Linked DNA regions of Drosophila melanogaster. The protein of the gene in region 2 interacts with the protein of the main gene of each other region in a pairwise test. Each region holds a gene or a part of one and is shown on either strand. Other genes may lie near its edges. The genes, in order: CG32756, CG15124, Rpt6R and CG17648.

Region 1 (7,190 bases), on a different chromosome or scaffold from region 2:
ACAATCCAATCGTAATAGTACGACACATTTGTGTAGACACCCGGATAACCAGGTGCTGCGCATCCAGCGCCGTACGAAACGATTCCGGCCAACATTCCGTTGCAGCTCATGGGTCCGCCGGAGTCGCCCTGGCAGGCGTCCACTCCGCCACTCAAATAGCCGGCGCACACCTGGGAAACCGGAATCGAATTGTATGAAATGCGACAGGTTGTATACGACACTATGGGCACCGTCGCGGCCTGCAGAGTATTACTACTAAATGTTCCGTTCTGAAAGTTTATAGAGATTTTATCAGATATATAAGTTTATCAGTAAATACTTGTGGTATAGAATTCCATCTGACAGTGGAAAACATTTGTAGACTCACCTGCTGGAGCAGACCCCATCCGGAGATCAGGCAATCGGTGTTTGTGGCCACAAGTTGGCTGTTCAACGCCAGGGCCGTTACAGTTGGCCAATTCCAGGGTATATATCCATTGATGAACATCAGGGCAATGTCGTTGGTCAACGCGTCCGGATTATAATTCTCGTGCGTAATTAGCTGCTGCAGGTAGTACATCAAAGTGCGATCGGTGGAGCTCGTCAGGTAGGTGCTGCCCATGACCAGGACAAATTCGCCAGCAGTTCGGTACTTCTTCTTGTCGGTGCTGGAAATCGGAATCTATTAGCATATGAAAATTGTGATGAAAGAGGTACTAGGATCAGTACGCACATGTAACAGCAGTGGGCGGCGGTGGCCACCAAACGTTGGGAAATGACCACCCCACCGCATAGGTGACCAGATCCATAGCTCTTCTTGTCGTTGGCGGTGAGGCGAATGGACACCTGGTACGATACCTGTTCTATGGACGCATCATAGCCGCCCACGATCTTCGGCTCTATCTTTCCAGCCGTTTCGCTTGAAAGACCTGAAATAGATATAGCCAAATAGGTATTTAATGTACGATTAAATATCGGTCTGATGGCCATGATAAACATCAATTGACATTGATTAACCTTACTGACTCGTCAACTACCTATAATAAATATGTTTATCTTGGGCGATGAGATAGCCTAGCATTGTTGTCTTAACAAAAAAGTACTTTAAAAGTTTATGGTGAGCGGTTCATAACGCTTCGGCGGTATGGAAAAACAAGACAATCTAATCGAACGTAAAGTGATTGCCACTCCTTTTGAAATTGGATAATTCCGAAAATTAGTCAGTGTCATAGAAAAAAATGTTCTTTTGTTCTACAATAATGGCGATGGAAATATCCAGTAAATCGAAAAAGGTAATTACCATAACCATATACCAATTTGGCATATTTATAATGCTGTTTTGAACATTTTGAAACTTAATTTTTTTTTAAATCCGAAAGCAGTTGAATTTGACCACTTATTGATTGTTTCTTTTACACATTGGAATATGATATGTTTCTTTTATCTTGGGTAATAACCAAACACTTTTGCAAACCATTTATCACAACAAAAAGCAAAACAAAAATGTGAGCAAATTGATAACTTCTGTGTGTGAAGTGTTGGGGTTTACCCAACTTGAATAGTTTTAGGCTTCGATTTTCACATAACTTTTAACGAAACGACCATAATTCGTTTACTGGTTCGTTCTGTTGAGGTAAATACAATCTATACTTTCGTATCACTATTCGGCTGTAATTTGGATTGATTGCGATCAAACTGTGACTCACTTTCGCCGGAGGCCAGTGCTCCTAGAAATAGCGCTATGGCCAGTATGGCCCAGACTTTAGCCATCTCTCTTGAGTAACTTGGCAGTATGGGATTTCGAAATGATACAGGTGACTGACTATCGACCGAATTTCTTGAATAGAGCCACCGCAATGAGCCATCCCGACACATGGCCAGTTGATATTATTTGTGGTTTGCCTTTAGCTTATCTTATCGCCAAATGTGCGTAAATTGAATGTTGCCAAAGCCCCAAAGCTCCACATTGACAACAGCTCGATGGCTCGAATCGGCTGCCATAAAAGTAAACAAATGGCAAATCAAAGCAAAATTCGTTTTTGATTTCAATGGCACCAAAGGGAATGGATTTGGTAACGCCAGAACACCACAGTAACTGGTTGATTGGCTGGGATTAGACAAACTTTAAAGGTTATTTATTCTAATTGTAAATGGGGTGTCTTGTTTTGTTTTATTCAATTTTATTAGTAATTACGCCAAAAAAATATTTAACAAAAAACATTTAGCATAAAATGCATTGATCAGGAGGCTATAACCGTTGGAAAGCCGTGACTAATCGGACGCATTTTAATATCAGTCGATATGTTCCATAGAGATAGGAGTTAGTTGCTGCTTGTATGCAGTAGAATTCAACTTGTTTGTGTACTGAGGGTGTTTTGGTAAGATGTCGTTTTAAAATCTACAACACTATACATTGTTTTGTTTCATTTGATTGCTGTTCGATGGACTTAGGTACGAATACCTAATCAACAAATGGAATCATGTCTTTTATCCTTGTATCACTGAGGATTTGTTTTTATCTCAAAAAAAAAAAAAAAAAAAAACGTATGTACTAAGGCTAAGGTTTTGCTTGTAGCACCATTTAGACTGAGATCGTTTCCAAATTATTTTTTCTCTAGATTATTGATCGCTTCTGCGACGCGACCAGTTGAGTAAATCAGTGCGGCTTTGATCTCTTCCAGCTCAATTTGATGAATTACATCCAAATTCCCCTCGGATATTCCGACTTCGGGTTCTTGAGTGAATGCCGGGGGGTAATCGTAAAAATCATTAATAGAATCCAAAGCGTTCGATGCCTCCCTAGTGACCTCCTCATCATCAGAAGAAGAATTCTCATCATTAAAAGAAGCATCCTCATATTTAGAGGCATCATCATCTTTAGAAGAAGCATCCTCATCTTTAGAAGAAGCATCCTCATATTTAGAAGAAGTATACGCATCTTTAGAAGAAGCATCCTCATCTTCAGAAGAAGCATACTGTTCCTGAGATGCAAGTTCATATACACCATTTCCGACGGTTGGATTAAATTTGGTTAGTTGTCGGCCAGACCATCCTTGGGAAAGCCCCGAAGATGTGGATGACTCTTCGTCATCATCAGTGAGATCATTCTTGGTGTCCATTGGCGCTAGCTCTACTTTTAAGATTACATTTACGTTTGTCTCTTGGGAACTCTGCGAGCTTTTGTACTCGACAAGCGGATTGGAGCGGCGCTGCATTACCTTGCGCTCCATATGATTGGTATTGATTTCAAGAGCCTTGCGCTTCCTGCAATTGCGAAAACATATCTTATTAATCGGTAAATGTGAACACATTGTACCAATCCCACCTAATGCGAGGAGCTTCTTTTGGGCTTGATGCCTTCGAAGAAGCAAAGTAGCCGTTTGACGAAGAATAGGGCGCGACATCCCGTGCCCATGGCGAAGAAAGCGATGTCCAATTAGGCGATGGCTTATCAGCAAAAAAAGTACTCTGCGCCTTCTGGTAGGCAGCGGAACAGTCCAGCAATTGCTTGTGCTCATTCATAAAAGCCTCGAGATCAAAGGGCTGGGTTTCCACGGTCACTAAAGAAGGCATAAGGTTTTGCGATTACTAACTAAGCGAATGGAATGCACAAGAACTTTCGATTTGCAAACTTGTTCTTAACTAACCTCTGCGCAGCTGGCATCCCTCGGTGCGATACTGGTTCAGCTCCTTGTCCTTGGCATGGATAATCCCTAGCAGAAGGGGTATCTGAGCCCGTAGTCCCAAAGCCGTGGACATTGTGTTCAAGAACATTTGGCTATACAACTTTGGGAATAATGGCACTAATTATTATAGTTCTTGGAACTGATTCTGCTAAAGTCAGTTACTGACCTGTGCGGCATCCATGGGTCTCAGGTGCCATTCCCACTTGAGGAAAACTTTGAAATTCGCCATGGCATACTTCAGTTTCAGGACGTTCAATGGGTGCTGGTAATCCTGTTCGACATGCAATGGATCCTTGTTGAGCAGGACCTGGCGCACCAATTCCTCGGGAAACTTCACACGCGCGTTGAGCGTCTGGTCGAAAAAACGTGTTGCACTCACACTATTTCACCACATGAAAATGCGGAAAACTTACTTTCAAACGCTGCTGGTAATCGCGTTTCATCAAAGTCTCGGAGTAAGTCCACTTCTCGCGAGGACGGAAAACGTGAATAGTTAGGGTTTCATCATGCTGCCCCTCAGTGCAGGCGAACAGGTGCTGCAAGCCATTTATATTCACTACTTTCAATAGCATTTTGAAGTTACGTTTAGAAGGATCAGAAATCAAAGGAAAGAAACATCACTGACGCACGCCGTAGAGATGAAAAAGAATCGATAGTACCGTCTAGGTATCGAATTCTTACCAATCTATCGATTGTTCTTTGGCGGTAACGATGGTGATGTATAAAGATTCCCAACAAAAATGGGATGTAACTCTATACCTATTTGAACTAACCATTAGAAGTATAAATCAAATATACTTTATAACAGCATTATATTATATATTATAATGTTATTATATTATTATAATATGAAACAAGTAGTACCTAAACCTTTATGTGTTCACGCCACATCAACAGAGTCTGAGCGTAGGCTGGACGTATAATAGGTAACCGCAGGGCTTTCCTTAAAACGATCAATGCTGAAATACTTTTTCTGCAGGGAAATGCATGGATAGAATGCCTGTGCGTATTTCAATTAACTAATCCACGCGGTTGTATTTATAGACATGTATTTATATTATATTATATATTATAAGATCCTAAATGTGTAGATCAGTTATAGTTGTGACCCACCGATGGGAACAACACATTATTGTGGGAATTCAGGGTTCAGGAAAGCATTACTCAGGATCCAAAACTAGCCTCGTCTAGCTGTCTTTCATCCTTCTGTTGTAATCCTAGATCAGCCTGAAAAGGCTGAAAGCTTCTAAAGCAAATGGGATAAGGCAAACTTTAAAGATTATTTATTCAAACTGCAAACGTTTCTTTTTTTATCAATTTTATTAGTAATCGTGCCAAAAAATATTTAACATAAAATGCATTGATCAGGAGGTTATAACCGCTGGAAAGCCCTGACTAATCGGTCGATAATTGACCAGAAAATTTCCGGGCAATCATTTTGACAAATTTTAATATTATTCGATATGTTCCATAGAGATAGGAGTTAGTTGCTGCTTCTATGCAATGGAACTCAACTTGTTTGTGTACTGAGGGTGTTTTGGTAAGACGTTTTAAAATCTACAACACTATACATTGTTTTGTTTCATTTGATTGCTGTTCGATGGACTTAGGTACGAATACCTAATCAACAAATGGAATCATGTCTTTATCCTTTTATCACTGAGGATTTGTGTTTGTCAACTTGTTTGTGTACGTGTACTGAGGGTGTTTGATAAGACGTCTTTTTAATATCTACAACACTATACAGTTCTTTGTTTCATTTGATTGCTGTTCGATGGACTTAGGTACGAATACCTAATCAACAAATGGAATCATGTATTTTATCCTTTTATCACTAAGGACTTGTTTTTATCTAAAAAAAAAAAAAAAAAACAAAAAAAAAAAACGTATGTACTAAGTGTGAAGTTTTGCTTGTAGCACCATTTAGAATGAGATCGTTTCCAAATTATTTTTGCGCTAACTTATTGATATAGCTCTGGATCGCTTTTTCGATGCGTTCAGTTGAGTAAATCAGTACGGCTTTGATATCTTCCAGCACAGTTCGAAGAATTAAATCCCAATTCTGATCGGACTTTCCGACTTTGGGTTCTTGGATGAGTTCCCTTGGGGCATCGTAAAACTCTTTTAAAGATTCAACCTTCTTTATGACGAAATTGAAAGCGTTCGATGCCTCCCTAGTGACCTCTTCATATTCAGAAGAAGCATCCTCATCTTTAGAAGAAGTATCCTCATCTTTAGACGGAGCATCCTCATCTTTAGAAGAAGTATTCTCATCTTTGGAAGAAGCATCCTCATCTTTAGAAGAAGCATCCTCATATTTAGAAGAAGTATCCCCATTTTTAGAAGAAGCATCCTCATCTTCAGAAGAAGCATACTGTTCCTGAGATGCAAGTTCATATACACCACTTCCGACGGTTGGATTAAATTTGGTTAGTTTGGCCGACCATCCTTGGGAAAGCCCCGAAGATGTGGATGACTCTTCGTCATCATCAGTGAGATCATTCTTGGTGTCCATTGGCGCTAGCTCTACTTTTAAGATTAAATTTACGTTTGTCTCTTGGGAACTCTGCGAGCTTTTGTACTCGACAAGCGGATTGGAGCGGCGCTGCATTACCTTGCGCTCCATATGATTGGTATTGATTTCAAGAGCCTTGCGCTTCCTGCAATTGCGAAAACATATCTTATTAATCGGTAAATGTGAACACATTGTACCAATCCCACCTAATGCGAGGAGCTTCTTTTGGGCTTGATGCCTTCGAAGAAGCAAAGTAGCCGTTTGACGAAGAATAGGGCGCGACATCCCGTGCCCATGGCGAAGAAAGCGATGTCCAATTAGGCGATGGCTTATCAGCAAAAAAAGTACTCTGCGCCTTCTGGTAGGCAGCGGAACAGTCCAGCAATTGCTTGTGCTTATTCATAAAAGCCTCGAGATCAAAGGGCTTGGTTTCCACAGTCACTAAAGAAGGCATAAGGTTTTGCGATTACTAAGCGAATGGAATGGACAAAAACTTTCGATTTGCAAACTTGCTCTTAACTAACCTTTGCGCAGCTGGCATCCCTCGGTGCGATACTGGTTCAGCTCCTTGTCCTTGGCATGGATAATCCCTAGCAGAAGGGGTATCTGAACCCGTAGTCCCAAAGCCGTGGACATTGTGTTCAAGAACATTTGGCTATACAACTTTGGGAATAATGGCACCAATTATTATAGTTCTTGGAACTGATTCTGCTAAAGTCAGTTACTGACCTGTGCGGCATCCATGGGTCTCAGGTGCCATTCCCACTTGAGGAAAACTTTGAAATTCGCCATGGCATACTTCAGTTTCAGGACGTTCAATGGGTGCTGGTAATCCTGTTCGACATGCAATGGATCCTTGTTGAGCAGGACCTGGCGCACCAATTCCTCGGGAAACTTCACACGCGCGTTGAGCGTCTGGTCGAAAAAACGTGTTGCACTCACACTATTTCACCACATGAAAATGCGGAAAACTTACTTTCAAACGCTGCTGGTAATCGCGTTTCATCAAA
Region 2 (5,282 bases):
TCCACCTGAAAGTCATTCCATGTATATTCAGCAGATTCCACAAAGCACTAAATCATATTGCTAAGGATAATAGTGTGCTAAAATGTGAACCACTTTGGTGTTTAACGCTAATCAGGGTGAGTAAAATAATAATATAGTCAATATGTAACTTAAATTCAAGCGGTGCCTTTACCACCTAGCAAATTATACTAAGACTGGAATCATTCTCAATTAAGGTGTTTTTTTTAATTGAAATTCGTTTGCTAAATATAATTCATTGTTATCCAATCTCATACATAGATTTTCCGGACACGACGGCAACTTATGCAATTGACAAAAGCCCATCCTGGGCAACTTTGTGCCGGAATCTTTTTGGCAAAGTTGGCTCACACTAATTACCAACATTAGGCCACCTGCACAGACTAGGCACACTCAATTAGCAACTGTAAACTGCAATTTCTATGCTGGCCAAGTGAGTTTTGGCCAGAAACAGCAGCAACAGCAGCCGGTTAGTCCAAGTCTTTGGCAACTTTGTCGTTTTCGTTGTTCGCTGCATTATTTATGCCACCTCCTTGACCTTTCGCCTTGATGTCGCTGCCTGTTCGAGGAGCATAAACTACGCCGGGCCGTTAAATGCGATGGTTTGTCAAATTAAAGCGGTGCCAAGTAAGCTAGAGTAGCTGGGAGAGCTGGTAAAGCGGATGTGGAACCTCCACGAAAACGCACACAATGCAACAACTTTTCCAACCGGAAGTGAAGCAGACGCCCAGCAACTGAGGCAGCGAAAGTGAGCGCGGAATTGGATGTTCGGCTATAACGGATGCGGGGCGCCATCTTGCTGTTGTTCGCAAACATGGCGGCAAAAGCCCAGAGCCAAAAAGCCAATCCCCCCTTCTGACCAACGCACTGCCATCTATGTAGCTTTTGTGACGCAACAATTGCATTTTATTTATTGCATAACTAGCGGTGTTTATGCGTCGGAGAGTGGATAGCAACAAGACGGAAAAAGAATGGGAAACAAGTAAGAGTGGCCAGGACCTGAAATAGAACCATTCTGCCTCTCGTAAAAGCGAATCCCCTTGCATACATACATACATACCCGCAGTTCAGCATAATAATTACAATCGCTATCAGCGCCGACATTTCACGATGAAAAACTGCATTGGCACGCAACCTGTTGTTGGCTTCCTGCTCCGGTTCCCAGCTAACTGAACACTCAGAGAAAATATTAGTAACTTGCCAGCAAATGGTATTAAAAATACTACCTGAACGGGACACGTAACTCAAGACTATTCTATATAGAGTTTAAAACTCTTGGGACATTTTTTTGAGATCTTTTTGAAACCTTTAAAATTTTTTTTGCTGTGCAGCTACAGATTCAACTCCCCAGGTCCAGCTAAGCGCTGGCTAAGAGAGGAGATGCCTGAGCACACTGTCCAGGACCAGGTCCCTCCTTTAACAGGTCCTAACTATGCAAAGCCATGAAACGCAAGTGTCGCAGGGATTATTCATGGACGGGGAATGAAGATGAAGCGGCCAGCGGGCTGTCAGTGACAGGTAAACGGAGAAAAGGGAAACGGAAGGACACGAAGCAGGAAAAGTCGAGGGGGAAAAAAGATTCCTAGGGATAGGATTTAAGAGAGGAGCACATTACTTAAGGCTAATTTCATTGCTGGAAATTCAACTATTCAATCTCGGAGAGGTGTAATAAAACATTTTGTATTTGCTTTCGCGATAAATATTTATTTTCCAGAATAGTGCGATAATAATTGCATATGAGTGAAACATGTAAAGTTTAAAACAGTCCAAATTAAAAAGTCTTTTTGACGCCTTGGCCGGAACAATGGATGTTGCTTGTCTTATTCTGCCTCTGAGTCTTATGCCAATCCATGATAAAGTCTTTGTTGATCTGGGCGACCCTCTCCAAATAGGCGACACTGCCCATGTCGCTGTCCAAAGCCAGGATTTCGCAATAAAGCGAGCTCAGCTTTATATTGCAACGTTCTACGGCGTCAGACAATTCGACTTCTCTGATTTCCGTCTCGTCTAGGAAATGCAATTTAACTTTCTCCTGATTGGTCACAAAACGAGTCCCTGCACCGGGCTTTTTGATCTCCGAATGCAAATCCAGCAGATACTTCTTAAGCTCTTGCAACGCTGCCATTTTCAGAAGAAGTCTGTCCTTTATGACTTTAAGTGCCTTGCGACATTGCTCTGCAGACACTTCCTGGCGTTTGATTAATTCAGCAATAGAGACATTGGAGTTTTTAGGTTCGGACATGAAAACCTTTATACTGTAAATGGGACGGATATTGTGCAGAGTTATGTTCGGTAAGTCCTTGCAGCTGATTAAGTCTGTAAAGTCGAGCATATTGTCGTTATCCATTCTAATTGATATCAAATTTTAACTTATTTTTCTAGCGGTTTATTTTAATAATTTAAATTTATACGAAGTTTCTCAGAAAGCAATATATGCAATGACTACTTTCCAAAAAAATGCTTTGCTATGTGATCGTTTAATTTCCCTTGTTAATTTCGTATATATAACCAATTTTAAGTTTCCTTTTTTCATGTTTCGTCATCAGCAAACGATGAATTTCTATGGATTCACTTTTAAACTTTTTATCCATCGCAATTTTATTTCATTTTTATTTGCGCTTTTTGCGATTTTTATATGCACTAAAAGTCAATTTATTCACTTGACTTAATTTGATTTCAACCTTCAAATAATCCAATAGAGTTTTTGTGCAGTCGTCCTTCACGGTTGCACCTTGAAAAAGGAGTTATTTCTGTTTTGCTGAAAGGATTGTTTACTTAAATGATTGTCAATTTATAAAAAAGTAGGGATCATGATAAAATAAATAATTCGACAACGATTGTTTAAATGTATATTATCTCATACATGTTTTGATTGCATTCTGTGAACAAAAAATTGTTCCGAAAAGCTAAATTAAATTACCTGTTCATCCTTGTATAATATTACTCATACGCAGTGGATGCCCGGGCCATTGATTTAAATTCAAGAAACTCACGAGCAACAGAAGTTCGAGAGAAGCTGCCGCAATCTCAACTGCCTCATTGTTAACCCGCACTCAATTTCGATTCCCAATATGCTCCACATAACCGAGAGTAGGGCTCGATTCTCTATGCCGGTAATCGTACGTGTGGAAAAGACGTCAGCACTGATTGCTGCATAAATGATTGAGCATGTGTGGTTGTGTGCGCCTGTCTTTCAATCCACATCGATGTGTGCGCTTGTGTAGGGCTGGAATGACTTGCCACAGACGAATCCCACTCACTATCAGCATTCCTCCATGCAACAGGACCTGCATCCCAGCGAAAAGGATGGGGTTGCATTATATGAAAATTGATGGGAAATGCCAAAATATTTAAATCTAATTTTGTGCCAGGCTGACAGGCAGCCAGCATTCGCCGAAGCCGCAGGCATTGCATTTGATTTTGATTCCCGTCCAGTTTTGCCAGCGTATTTGGCGACTTTTGCCCTGGCGAGCATTTAAATATTCAATACGATTATATTTTTAAACACGTAGCCTGGGGAAAAAAAGCCCTGACTGAACGACGGTGAAGAGTCAAATGGAAAAGGAAACTTTATTCAAAAGAAAAAATAAGAGAATATTCCTTGATGAAATAGGATTTTTTCTTTTGGAGTCGATTTTCATTTAACCCGATCAGATTTATTTTCATTTTAAATTGCAGTGAATATAGTTCTTTATGGTGCTAAAGATAATTTTTTATGCACGCTCAAAGTCCTTTAAGAAAAATGTTAATCCCAAGCAAATGAAAAATGAAATGACTTCAAAATTACTTGTCATTTTTGTTACATCAATGAGTGTGGCGAGTAAACAAAACTAAGCAATTTATATTATGAGTGTTAATAAAATATTTATAATATTTTATAAAATCTATGGTTATATTTTAAATAATATGTATCATATATATAAAAGGAAGCCTTAAGCTTTCCAGCCATATTAGTGGGAAACGTGTCCACCATTCACGGTCAACCATTTCCTTACGTTTGCTTCCTGACGCGCTTGAACAGAACTTAAAATAGAATTTAAATACCGGCAAATTGTCTGCCTTGGCACCTGTCTGCCCATTCTGCCCAGGACACCCATTGTCATCCCAAGACCCCCGCCCAACACCATTTTTCGGCCATCCAGCCAGCCAACCGTCCAACGATCCAGCGTCATTCGCATTTGCTATTTCCGTTTTGCACGGCCGTGTTGCTGTGTTGGCATTTCATTTAGCGCACAACTTCACATTTGCCTCAGTCGTTGTCTTTCTGCTGCCTTTTCCCATCGCTTGCAATTGCCATTTCCGCTTCCTGAAATTTGCCATTCGTTACACACAGAAGGACACGCCGACACACATACACAGACAGGCACACATACACACACGTGCGAAAAGGGAAGCACTGAAACCGAAACTTAAACAGAAACAGAAGCAGAAAGCCGCTCCCCGCATGCACCGACATTTTCATTTCCATGCTTGGGCGCATCGCAGCGAATCAATTATTCATCATCATCGATTAAGTGGGGGGAGCTATCTGGCCCCCAAACAGCCCGTCGCCCATCCGCCAGCCGCCAACCGCCTCTGTCCTTCCGTCCCGTCACACTTTTATTGTTATGATTTCTGCCGTCTGTAATGGGCACACTTAAAGGACTCCAGCGACCAGGAGGAGCAACAGAGAGCAGAAAAGCGCCAGGATAAAGACAATGGACGGGCTCTCACGTTCGCTGGCTGCTCCATTTCGCGTGAATTTTACCCTCATTTCGCCGGCTTTTCATACGCTGTAATCGGCAGGCAAAAGGAGTATCTAACATTTTGGTTATGCCGATTTCCGGAAATAATATTTCAATTATTTTGTAAATCATTATGGCATTTCACTTATTTTCCTAACTAATTTTTGTAGTTTATAAAACACAAATCGACAAAATTTAAAAAAAATGATCAACTTTTAAGCAATTCTTGTAAGCCAATAAATCACAAGGTAAGCAAAAAAGTCGATACCACTCATCCACCTTCCCTCTTCGTTTTATTTGTGTTGTAATTTTAATGAGAATCACTGGGCCTTGGGCCGAAACTAAAAGCTGAGATTGCCGAACACACACTCGGGGAAATGCCCACATATGTTATGCTGACATATCAATACGGTGGGTTGGTGGGTGAAGTGCCTGTATGAGAGGGGCACATATATATCTACACAAACAAAACAATACATCGAGAACGGAGATGGTGCGGAAAATGGTAGTGGGAATGGGTAGAAGCAGACGGACGGCCAT
Region 3 (6,068 bases), on a different chromosome or scaffold from region 2:
TCCTTTCAGACTAACTGGAAATATTCCCAAGGGAATGCCCACGCCCTCACTTCCTCCGTTTTCCATCGAACCGCAGCCCGGCAACGAAACAGCTGGGATCCCTGCTGTTGAGGGACAGACTTTTCCTGAAATGGTGCAGAGCTTGGGATATGGACTAGTTATCGTTCCCCTAATGGCCCTACTGGAAACCATGTCGGTTTGCAAGGCCTTCGCCAAGGGTAAACAGATAGATATCACCCAGGAAATGATTGCCTGTGGAGTCGGCAACATTGCTACCTCCTTGTTCTCAGGATATCGATGCAATGGAGGATTGGCCCGATCGGCGGTGAATAATGCCAGTGGCTGTCGCACCAATATGTCCAACCTGTACATCGGTGTTATCGTAGTGCTCGCCCTGAACTTTCTCACCGAATACATCGCCTTCATTCCCAAGGCGGTGCTGGCAGCGATTATTATATCGGCAGTGATCTTCCAGGTTCAGTACCAGGTCGTAACGCCCATGTGGCGCAGCAAACGTGAGTTGAGACTTCCTTGATTAGTATTTATATTCCTAAGTTACCTTCAACGTTGCAGGTTCCGATCTAGTGCCTGGCATCCTGGCCTTCGTCACCTGTTTGGTACTGCCCCTGGAAATTGGAATTATGGTGGCCATTGGTGTGAATCTTCTCTTTATCCTGTACTATGCAGCCAGGCCAAAGGTCACGCTGGAGCAACTGGAAACCCAACAAGGTATCAGATTCGTGAAGATCACCCCCGACAGATGTCTGATCTTTCCTTCGGTGGAGTTTGTTCGAAATATGGTACTGAAGTTGGGCAGCAAATCCACATTGCCAGTGGTCATCGATTGCACCTATATCTATGCTGCGGATTTCACAGCCGCCAAAGTAATATCCTCCATTGTGGACGACTTCCGCCGGCGTCAGCAAAAGATCATATTCTTCAACTTGAAGCCCAGTGTAGTGAGTGTCTTCGAGGGATTGAACACGAGGCTGGTGCTTTGCTACAACACCCATGCCCTCAACCAGGAACTCCGGCCCGACGAGCCGGATCTTTCGAGGTCCGTGGACTCACTCGACCACGCCGAGTCCGGAAACGGAACTAGTGAATGCGTGAGCATGGCCAGCACTCTTTCACTAGCTAGAAGTTAGTCTTACAACGCCCAAATAAAATTAGCTAAGTTATATCTATACCATTACGAACATTAATCTAGTAGTTTCACTTGAGTAAAGTCTTTGTTTTTACACTCCTGTCCTTTTCTATCAAGAATATACTACAAAACTTGTATTATTTATATCAACTATTATATTCAGTCTGATAATGGAGCTTTCAAATGTTTTAAAATTAGTTATATAAGCTATTTCCAGAACTTTCTGATGGACATGTTCTTCTCGGAGTCCTTCATCATTACCTTGGAGACGGCCATTTCAAAGTCCTCCTGGGTGACATGGACCCGTCTTTCCCTCAGAGCATACATTCCCGCCTCGGTGCAAACACCCTTGACTTCAGCACCAGAAGCCCCCGGCATTTCTTCAGCAATCTTGCGAAGATTGATGCCTCTGGTGAGGTTCATCTTGCGAGAATGTATCTTCAGGATATCCAATCTGGCCTCTTCGTTTGGTGGCGGAAACTCGATCTTGCGGTCAATTCGACCAGGACGCAGTAATGCCTGATCCAAGACATCGATGCGATTGGTGGCCATGATCACCTTAATGTTTTTAGTAGCCTCGAAGCCGTCCAGTTGGTTCAGAAGCTCCAGCATGGTTCGCTGGACCTCCGAATCCCCCGTTCCGGTTTCCAGTCGAGCGGAACCAATCGAGTCGATCTCGTCCATGAATATTATGGATGGAGCGTGTTCCCTAGCCATCACAAAAAGCTCCCTTACCATTCTCGAACCCTCGCCGATGAATTTCTGAACCAGTTCCGACCCTGAAACCCGTATAAAAGTGCACTCCGTGTGATGGGCTACAGCTCGGGCTAACAGGGTTTTCCCAGTTCCAGGCGGTCCGTAGAGGAGCACTCCCTTTGGCTGGGTAATGCCCAAGGCGTCAAATAATTCCGGATGCTTTACAGGCAGCTCAATCACCTCCTTGATCTCCTGGATCTGCTTGTCCAAGCCACCCACCATTTCGTAGGTGGAGTCGGGCACCTTTTCCACCAACATAAGGGATACTAATGGGTCCACCTTATTGGGCAGAATTTTGTGAAGCGTGTAGCTCTCGTTTCGCAGGGCCACCCTGCTGCTGGGTGTCACATCCTTAATATTGATGGTCTTGTCCACATCCACTACATACTTGCCCTCGGGATGAACCTTCACAAGGACCTTATTCTTGTCCATGGGCTTCACAACCTCCGCAATATAGCTCCCCTGCTCCTGGAGCAACTGCAGCTCCTCGCGCAGCAAGCGAACTGTGGATAAGGCAGGATAATCTTATAAAGGATATATTCATTCTAAGAACCTTACCCTTGAGGTTGAGTTCATTTCTCTGAGCCTGCAAACGGAGCAAGTTCTTTTGGCGTTCGTTCACAGTGAACTGAAGCTCTGATATTTTCTGCGTATAATATGAATGAAAGCCTTCGGAACCCTCTGGGATTCCTACGTCTTTGCTCATCTGGTAAAATTAATATTTCTTCTGGAAAAAAAAATCACTTCAAAAAAGGCTAGCTAGTAATTTATTACGTTGAACTGCAAATTGTTATTTCTTTCCTTGTATAGCGCTCAACAACTTCCCGAGCTATTGATATAATTTTGCTTATTTTTTTGAACGAACTGAATCCGGCTGATGAGACGACAGTTTTTACGCAGTGCTGGGAAATTTTGACAAGTTAGGGATGGAAACTTCATTTCACACTTTAACTTAAGGGTTCTTGAACAGACTAAAAATTTTAAGATAAGTCGTATTATTGCCACACGTTTCGTAAATATTATTTTATTATAGGTGTCAAACATATTCATTCAATCTTATCTCGAGTAATGCTTTCTTGTTATTGATGCCTTCGAACCAAAAAATTTACTTCCCACACGAAGCACCAAATAAAATCACAGCATAGTTTGAGATTAAAGACACCCAGAAATCATGATGTTGTTTAGATATAAAGTCTATCAATCTTGGAATAAATCTTTAATAAAGCCAGTAGTTGGTAACAACGTATAATACCTAATGAGAGTGTTTTATTTCCACTTTCTTGGCCAATCAAGTAAAACTCTTAACGCCACTTAACTATTTTATATTTACTTGATTTATTTAAGTACTTATGCTAAAACTCGCCGTTCGCTACCCGAAAATAATACTATGTTCAGCGGCAAAATCGCGGGTGGGAGGAGCCCTGACTCTGGAATTCACAGCGTTTCGCCGTTAGAGGCCAAATAAATAATATTGTGCAGATATCTGCGAAGATTGCCACATCTTAAATGCTAATTAAGGTGAGCTGGGCTAGCCGTGGAATGGTAATGGTACCTTCAACTAAGGCGATGAGCGTGGGCAGCCCACATCTAGATTTAGTCGCTGGCCTCGGTGGCAAGACTAAGCTAGTACTAGGTCTAGGACAGAGACTAAGCTACGAACTAGACTTGGGCTAAGACTATCGCATAACGAGGTTGCAGCGTTGTTCCCCCTTCGGACTTCTTTGGATCCCTCAGATCGGGGGCGACTTCTCCGCCAGCTTGGCGTGCAGGGTGTTAATATCGTATATGACCACCAGATCCTTGTTCAGACCCTCGAAGACCTGCGCCACTCGCGGCTGCAGGTTGTAGAAGAACAGCGGCTGCTCCCGCAGCTTAAAGTCCATCACCATGGTGGATATCACCTTGGCGGCCGTGAAGTCCGCTCCATAGATGTGGGTGCAATCGATGACCACCGGCAGTGTGGACTTCTGACCCTGCTTGTTGATCACCTTGCGCACAAACTCCATCGAGGGGAAGATCAGACAGCGATCGGGAGTTAGCATTAGGTATTTCAGACCAGTAGTTGTCTATAAAGATAGGTCGGCTTATTAATATCATAGGAATCATCTATGGCATATCAACTAGCAGTATATTAATTCCTACAGTAAGATGAACATGAGATAAAAATGCCATCCGAATCTTAAGAATCTGTAGCATACTTTCAGCCACTGAAGCTATTCTAGGTATAGATTGAGATACTTCGGATGGAATGACTCACCGCCAGCGTTTCGATGCGCAACTTTGGCCGGGCTGCCTGGTAGAGGATGAAGACCACATTGATGCCGATGCCCACGAGGATGCCCAGTTGCAGGGGCAGAACCAGACAGGCGAAAAAGGCACCCAGGCCGGGAATGAGATCGGTTTCTGTGGCAGGAGAAATACACACGTATGGTAACAAACATGTGAGTGTGGTTTATTTATTTTCAACTCACTTTTACTGTGCCACATGGGCTTGATCACTCGGTACTGGACCATGAAAATAACCGCCGCAATAATAATGGAGGCCAGAGCCGCCTTAGGAATGTAGTAAAAGCAGGGCGTGAGGTACAACAGGGCAATAATCACTATCACGCTGGTGTAGAGATTGGACAGCTGGGTCCTCACTCCACTGGCATTTAAGATGGCTCCCCTGGCGATGCCGCCATTGCTCCGAAGACCCTGGACAAAGGAGTTGGCCACGTTGCACACTCCAGAGGCTATCAGCTCCTGCGTGGCATCTGTGGGTTTGCCATCAGCTAAAAGGAAAAAACCAAACGGGGAAAATATTACAATCCAGTCAAATGAAATTCGAAAGCAAAACAATATGTTCTTCCCCAAGGAATAAAGCGACTGACCTATTTTAATATTTGCACGTGTCATTCAAAAGTTGACACTAATTTGGGACAACAAGGGTTATAAGGGTATAAGGGTTATAAACAAAAACTCGTTGCTTTCGTCAATCCGATTTAAAATTAGCTTTAAATATAAACCAATTACTGATGATTCATATCCTACTTGAATTTTGAAGATTCTTGAACTCGTTGGGGAAGAACGAGATCCAACTCATGAAAATGACGATATCAAATAAGCGGACAACTCACCGAAAGCCTGAACAACGGCCATAGTTTCCAGAAGAGCAATCAATGGAACCACAATGAGCCCAGATCCCAGGGTGCTGACCATGTCCCAGAAGCTCTGGGCCTCCTGAAGGACTTCTCCTGTGGTTTCGTTGACAACGGCATCCATGTGGAAGGGTGGTGGCTGAAAGGAGGGCAATCCCTTGGGCACAAAGCCAACTGTCTTCACGAGATTCTCCTTGCCGTTGACAAACAACCAGTAACCCAGGCCAGCAGTTCCACAGACCAGCAGGGCATTGCGGGCAGTTCCGATGGTCCAGAAAATGCCGGTCAGAAGCTTTTGCGCTGTGGTTTTTCCCTCCTTGGGACCCAGGGTACAACTGGCCAGGGCTCTCAGGCTCAGGAGCAGAGTAATGCAGACGATTCCCAAGATGAAGTCCGGCCAGCTGATGTTGTGTATATCGTTCACAATGCTAATCCACACTTGCAGGAAGGTGTTGCCACTTGTTTTGATGCCCAAGAAGTCCTTCATCTGGGAGCTGAAGATGATCAAGGACACGGCACTCGTGAATCCCGCTCCCACGGGACCAGAAACGAAATCGATGAGAAATCCCAGCCGGAAAACTCCCATCAGGATCTCAATGAGACCTGTGAGGAAGGTTAGCAAGGTGGCTATCTGCCAACTGCCTCCAGCGATTTGAAAGGACAGCAGTGCTGATATGGCCGTAGGTCCAATAGGCACATCCTTACTGGACCCAATAAATATGTATATGAAGCAGCCCAGGAAGCAGGCGTACAGGCCGTACTGCAGATCCAGTCCTGCTATTCCGGCATAGGCCAGGGCCTGGGGTATCACCGTCAGGGCCACCGAAATGCCCGCCACTATGTCACCGAAAATATAATCCTTTTTGTACTGGGGCAGCCACACCAGGATGGGGAATCGCTTGTACAGCGTTTTCTTCCTGAAGATGTTGGACCAGAGGTTTGAGCAACAGCTTTGAGTTCCCTCCAGGCAGCTCTCATCGGGACCCTGCTCCTCCTGCACAATGCAGTCGCGCGAGGTGTGGTAC
Region 4 (4,689 bases), on a different chromosome or scaffold from region 2:
CGGTTCTCCAGCTGAAGTGGGGCGCGCCGGAGCAGGAGGAGCTGCCTGGTGATGCGGAGCCTTCCCTGCAGTTGGGATGGTGTCCTGCCTTCCAGCTTATCGCAACACGGAAAAAAGTAAACTAATAAAGAGAAGAAGAAGCTCTTGTAAATAATTATTAAATTATCATCCTATATTGTGTCTATACCATGATTTCTATCTAGTACGCATTATTTGCTCTTATACTTTCGGAATTTTCTCCAAGTGTAGTATCATAGCTAAGCAAGAGGACGCTCTGTGACTCCCAACAGCGAAATGGACTTGTCAGTTTTGATGAACTATCTTTGGCTGCCCTGCGCTCGTCCTGTTTCGCCGCTAATGCTAATACCTCTGACAGAGATCTATGTGCGGTCTGATTCATTCGAGTCCCAGTCCCAGTCCCAGTTCCAGTACCAATCCCAACGCAATCCTAGTCCCAGTCTCAGTCGCAGACTCAGTTTCCGCCGGCTTGCAGACCTCAAGATGAGGTCACGTAGAGCTGCGTCGTCGGCCGCTTGTTTGGCTTATTAAATGCTCAGTTGTCCTGCCTCCGAATGCAGGCATTTCGGTCTCGTCCTGCCCCTGCATTTAGTATTAATCTGGCTTAAATGTGATTAATGTCTGGTCTGCGGAAAGGTTACCGCCCCATGCCACATGCCACATGCCCCGCGCCCCAGGAGTCCTGCGGTCTGACAAAGTCTGGATAAACTAAGCCCGGATCAGCAAGTGTAATCAATATTGCCATTAACATTCAGAATTCAATTAGAAGCTGTGTCTGTCCGGCCTTGGAGCATTCCCAAGATGGCTCTGATAAATTTTAATTGGTTTAGAGAAAGCTAGTTTGCGGCTGCTACTTAAAGCCATTAAGCTGTTATGTGGCACAGCATAGTGGATATTTAATTGGAGTTATTCGACAGATCCAATTGGTGTGCGATGTTATTTTACGATTAACAGGTGATGAATAACAACTACCTTTAACACCTGCCCCTTCCGACTCAAGAGCTATCTGAAGAGCTAGTCCACCGCCTTGGGTGGGGGTTTCCCTTTAGGGGTCACCCACTTCCATTGCACCTTTGATGGCGCCATAACTTGTGGCAATATCTGGTGCCCCGAGGTCGAAAGCAGCAGCATTCATTAGCTGTTTGCCGGAGCCGCTGGGTTTGCTTTAAATTTAATTGTTTGCCCGCTGCCGCTGTGCACTTTGTGGTTTAATTAAGACGGGATCGAGCGTATATGGTATATGGCATGTGGTGTACATGGATGTGGGTGGGGCAGACAGACGGCAGCTGCCTTAAACCAAATTACACTAATTGGGTTACCATATGACAGGGCAATGCGTCGACTGTGACATTTGTTTGCCATGGCTTGCCAATGCTTGCATTATGTCCGCCCGTCCACATCCTTCGCCCGCACAAACACAGCCCCCCACACGAATGTGTGGTGTACACTGAGAGAAAAAGCTCACTCAGTACGCAAATTCTTCAGAAGGGCTACCTTCCAAAAGTAAAGCCAAACTGGAGTCTCTAATCCCGTAATATTGATAGTTGTTCGGAAGTCTGAACCCCTAATTGTGCTCAGTGCATCATAAGCCCAGTCGTCAGTAAGTCCTTCACTCCACCGCCGTTTGCACTCGCAGTTGCCAGCTTGTAATAAGCTGCAGAATCATTTTCCGCATGCCGGCTGCTTTGACAGCTGCAATACCGCACATGGCTCAAAGGGTCGAAAAGCGGGCCACATGTGGTGGTATATGGTGGAAAAGGGGGAAAACGGGGCAACGGGCAAAGGATATGGGGAGTTGGAGACCGCACTCGAAATGGAAGCCAAAGGACTCTGGCTTAGTTAATTGAGTGGACAGCAAGGAGGTCTTTAAACTGAGATTGGCACGGATAAGAAGATAAGCATTATAGACTTTGTTGGCCTAATCTCACAGGTTCATTTGATTCTAAGCAGAGAAAAAAGAAAGTATTTTTTAAAAATAGTTTTAGAAACTTCTAGGCTTCGACGGCGGGTTCCATGGACAAGGACCTGCTGCTCACACTCCCGGCGGGGGTCATGATGTCCTCCAGCATTTGGTTGAGCGACTCGGAGCCCAGAGCGTACTCCTGCTTATTGGCACTTCGGTTGTGCATGGCGTCCAAGTAGACGCCACTCGCATTGCGCTCGCTGCTCAGAATGTGCTGCATGACATTGCTGATCTGTTCGGAGCCCAGGATCTTCGGTTGCTCGGTGGCCAGTCCATCGATGACCGCAGTTTCCAGCTGGCTTGAAATTTTGGCCGGCGACTCCTCCTCGTTGGCAGTTTTTAGAAAACGAATCGCCTGTGCAGAGGCCAAGGCTCCGGCCGTAAAAGAGGTCAGCAACTGAGCAATCGAAATCATTTGAAATTTGATATTTTTAAATGATTCGAAAGCGAATTTAGATCATGCTTTGAAAGTTCGTTACGATTGCTATGAATTGAGTTTAAATATTTCAAGGCTACATAAATTAGTAATTAACTCAATAGCCACCACTGATTTGGCTTACAAACTCTTTTGTTTAATATTATTTTTAAAAGCTTTAAATATTTTAAATAGATTTAGCTAGAAAATAGCTGACAGACACATATCGATATATCGCTGCGATAGCCACAGCTGTTCACGCCCGCAGTTTAAGCGATGTGGCAGCCCTGGTCGGCCACCAAAAAATAAACATTGGAATTTTCCCTTAACTTTATAGAGTTTTATCCAATTTGAGCGATGCTGCCGGGCGTTGGAGTGTTCGGAACGGGAGAGATAGCCAATGTGCTGGTGCCGCTGCTGCGGGAGAAAGGATTCGAGGTGCGGGCCATTTGGGGCAGGACCCTGAAAGAGGCGAAAGAGACTGCGACCACGCAGAATGTACAATTCCATACGAACGTAATCGACGATGTCCTGCTGCGGAAGGATGTGGATCTGGTGTTCATCGTGTGCCAGCCCTTTCTGCACGCGGAGATCTCGGTGAAGGCCTTGGGCATCGGGAAGCATGTGGTGTGCGACAAGCCAGCAGGATTGCACCAGCAGGACGCACTCAAAATGGTTCGGGCTTCTCAGTACTATCCCACTCTGATTTCCCTGGTCAATCACCCGCTGAGGTTCCTGCCCGCCTTTACACATATGCGTCGTTGTCTGCAGGAGGAGCTAATTGGCTCTATTGGCGACGTGGTACTCATGGATGTGCGCGTCCAGATGGGAACGCTCTTTCCCGAGAAGTACAACTGGATGTGCGATGCGCAAATGGGCGGCGGTGCCCTGAATCTCGTGGGATCCGTGGTGGACTTGGTCACCTTTCTGCTGCAACAGCAGGCAATAAGAGTGCATGGAGTCCTACGATCCTACACGAAAACCACACCGGCCATCAATGGCATTCGACAAATTACGGCTCCGGATTTCTGCAACTTCCAAATGGAACTGGCCAGTGGAACGCTGGTCACAGTGGCCCTGCACAGTCACACTGTGCCAGCAAAAGCCTTCTCGCAGGAAGTGCTCATCTATGGCAGCAAAGGACACCTGGTGGTCCGCGGCGGCGACCTATTTGTCCTCAAGGAGGGCCAACCCAAAGAGGAAGCTGTTTACGTGGATGTCCAGGATTTGCACTTCGCCACCAACAACTCTTTGCTACCACGACCATATATCAAAGGACTCTGCAAGATGGTGGGCGCTCTGAAGGAAGCCTTCGGCAGCAAGGAGTCCTCCTGGGTTAAGGCTCCAGTTTCCACAGCGGCCACCTTTGAGGACGGCCTCTACGTTCAGGCTGTGGTTGAGGCCATCCGGAAATCGAACGAGACCAGGCAGTGGCAAAGGGTTCAGCTGTCCACCGACAGCCCCCTGAATCACGACCAGATAATTCGATATGCACGCATGTCCACAATGTGAGGGAGTCTGTATTACATAGGTGCAATATATGAATGATTCCACTATATATTTTTTATATAATGTACGTGTTTAGTCTTTAAGCGTTCAAAAGATTCAGGCTTTCCAGCCGGCGTCATCTTCATCAATGTATTTAACTTATTTGTACGGCATCAGCATTTTGCAACTAATAAAATTGATTTGTTAGACATGAGACTTTATATTTATATTAGCTAGAAAACATTTCATGATAGTTAATAGCAAGGAACGAGAAGAAGTCATCAAATGTACCAAACGTTTTATTTTAAAAACAAAATTGTCTACACAAACTAAACGAAATATGTCATATACAAGTAATTCGAACTTAGGGCTAAAACTAAAGCTAATCACTAAAGAGACGAAACAAATTATTGATCACAAAAGTATCTTTGTAGCGGACCTTATAGAAGTAGATGAATATTCAAGACTTGGCATAGCTGGAGTCTTCGCGGAGATCCAGCTCAGTGGATGAAGTATTGTGTTTACAGGGCAAGATGGAAACGGGGTTATAGAGATTGTGTTGCAGTTGATCTTCCTTTTTGGTATATCAGCACTTAAACTGGATTTAAGCTACCCTAAAGCCTTCTTGCGTACAATATTTCAGAGAATATTTAAATAAATACCTAAGCTAACATCGAATCGGTCGATCAATTGTAAAAACACAAAAAGGGTAGTTTCGAATTTGGAACTTAAAACGAGGAGAGATGGAAAGACACCCGACTATGTACAAAAGGATTGCAGCCATGGACCAAACATTGGCCATGGT

The links.
Region 1: the proteins of CG15124 (region 2) and CG32756 interact in a two-hybrid assay, tested with the Drosophila melanogaster proteins (one large-scale study listed by BioGRID).
Region 3: the proteins of CG15124 (region 2) and Rpt6R interact in a two-hybrid assay, tested with the Drosophila melanogaster proteins (one large-scale study listed by BioGRID).
Region 4: the proteins of CG15124 (region 2) and CG17648 interact in a two-hybrid assay, tested with the Drosophila melanogaster proteins (one large-scale study listed by BioGRID).

Annotation. Positions count from the first base shown.
Region 1 is NC_004354.4:5,942,808-5,949,997, reverse strand, and holds CG32756 (uncharacterized protein), read right to left. Parts: upstream 4,317-7,190; 5' UTR 4,238-4,316; coding exon 4,079-4,237; intron 4,018-4,078; coding exon 3,832-4,017; intron 3,766-3,831; coding exon 3,627-3,765; intron 3,540-3,626; coding exon 3,305-3,539; intron 3,244-3,304; coding exon 2,583-3,243; 3' UTR 1,750-2,582; coding exon of another isoform or gene 1,686-1,749; 3' UTR 1,645-1,685; downstream 1-1,644. Other genes in the region: CG6041 (uncharacterized protein), read right to left, coding at 1-269, 368-647, 713-908, 1,686-1,749; CG12728 (uncharacterized protein), read right to left, coding at 5,611-6,325, 6,387-6,621, 6,705-6,843, 6,910-7,095, 7,157-7,190.
Region 2 is NT_033778.4:19,640,121-19,645,402, reverse strand, and holds CG15124 (uncharacterized protein), read right to left. Parts: upstream 2,457-5,282; 5' UTR 2,366-2,456; coding exon 1,790-2,365; 3' UTR 1,705-1,789; downstream 1-1,704.
Region 3 is NT_033777.3:30,580,915-30,586,982, forward strand, and holds Rpt6R (regulatory particle triple-A ATPase 6-related), read right to left. Parts: upstream 2,784-6,068; 5' UTR 2,610-2,783; coding exon 2,462-2,609; intron 2,407-2,461; coding exon 1,355-2,406; 3' UTR 1,284-1,354; downstream 1-1,283. Other genes in the region: CG9702 (uncharacterized protein), read left to right, coding at 1-515, 574-1,148; CG9717 (uncharacterized protein), read right to left, coding at 3,634-3,969, 4,161-4,306, 4,375-4,677, 5,023-6,068.
Region 4 is NT_033779.5:1,750,090-1,754,778, reverse strand, and holds CG17648 (uncharacterized protein), read right to left. Parts: upstream 2,472-4,689; 5' UTR 2,397-2,471; coding exon 2,010-2,396; 3' UTR 1,931-2,009; downstream 1-1,930. Other genes in the region: CG17712 (uncharacterized protein), read left to right, coding at 2,754-3,908.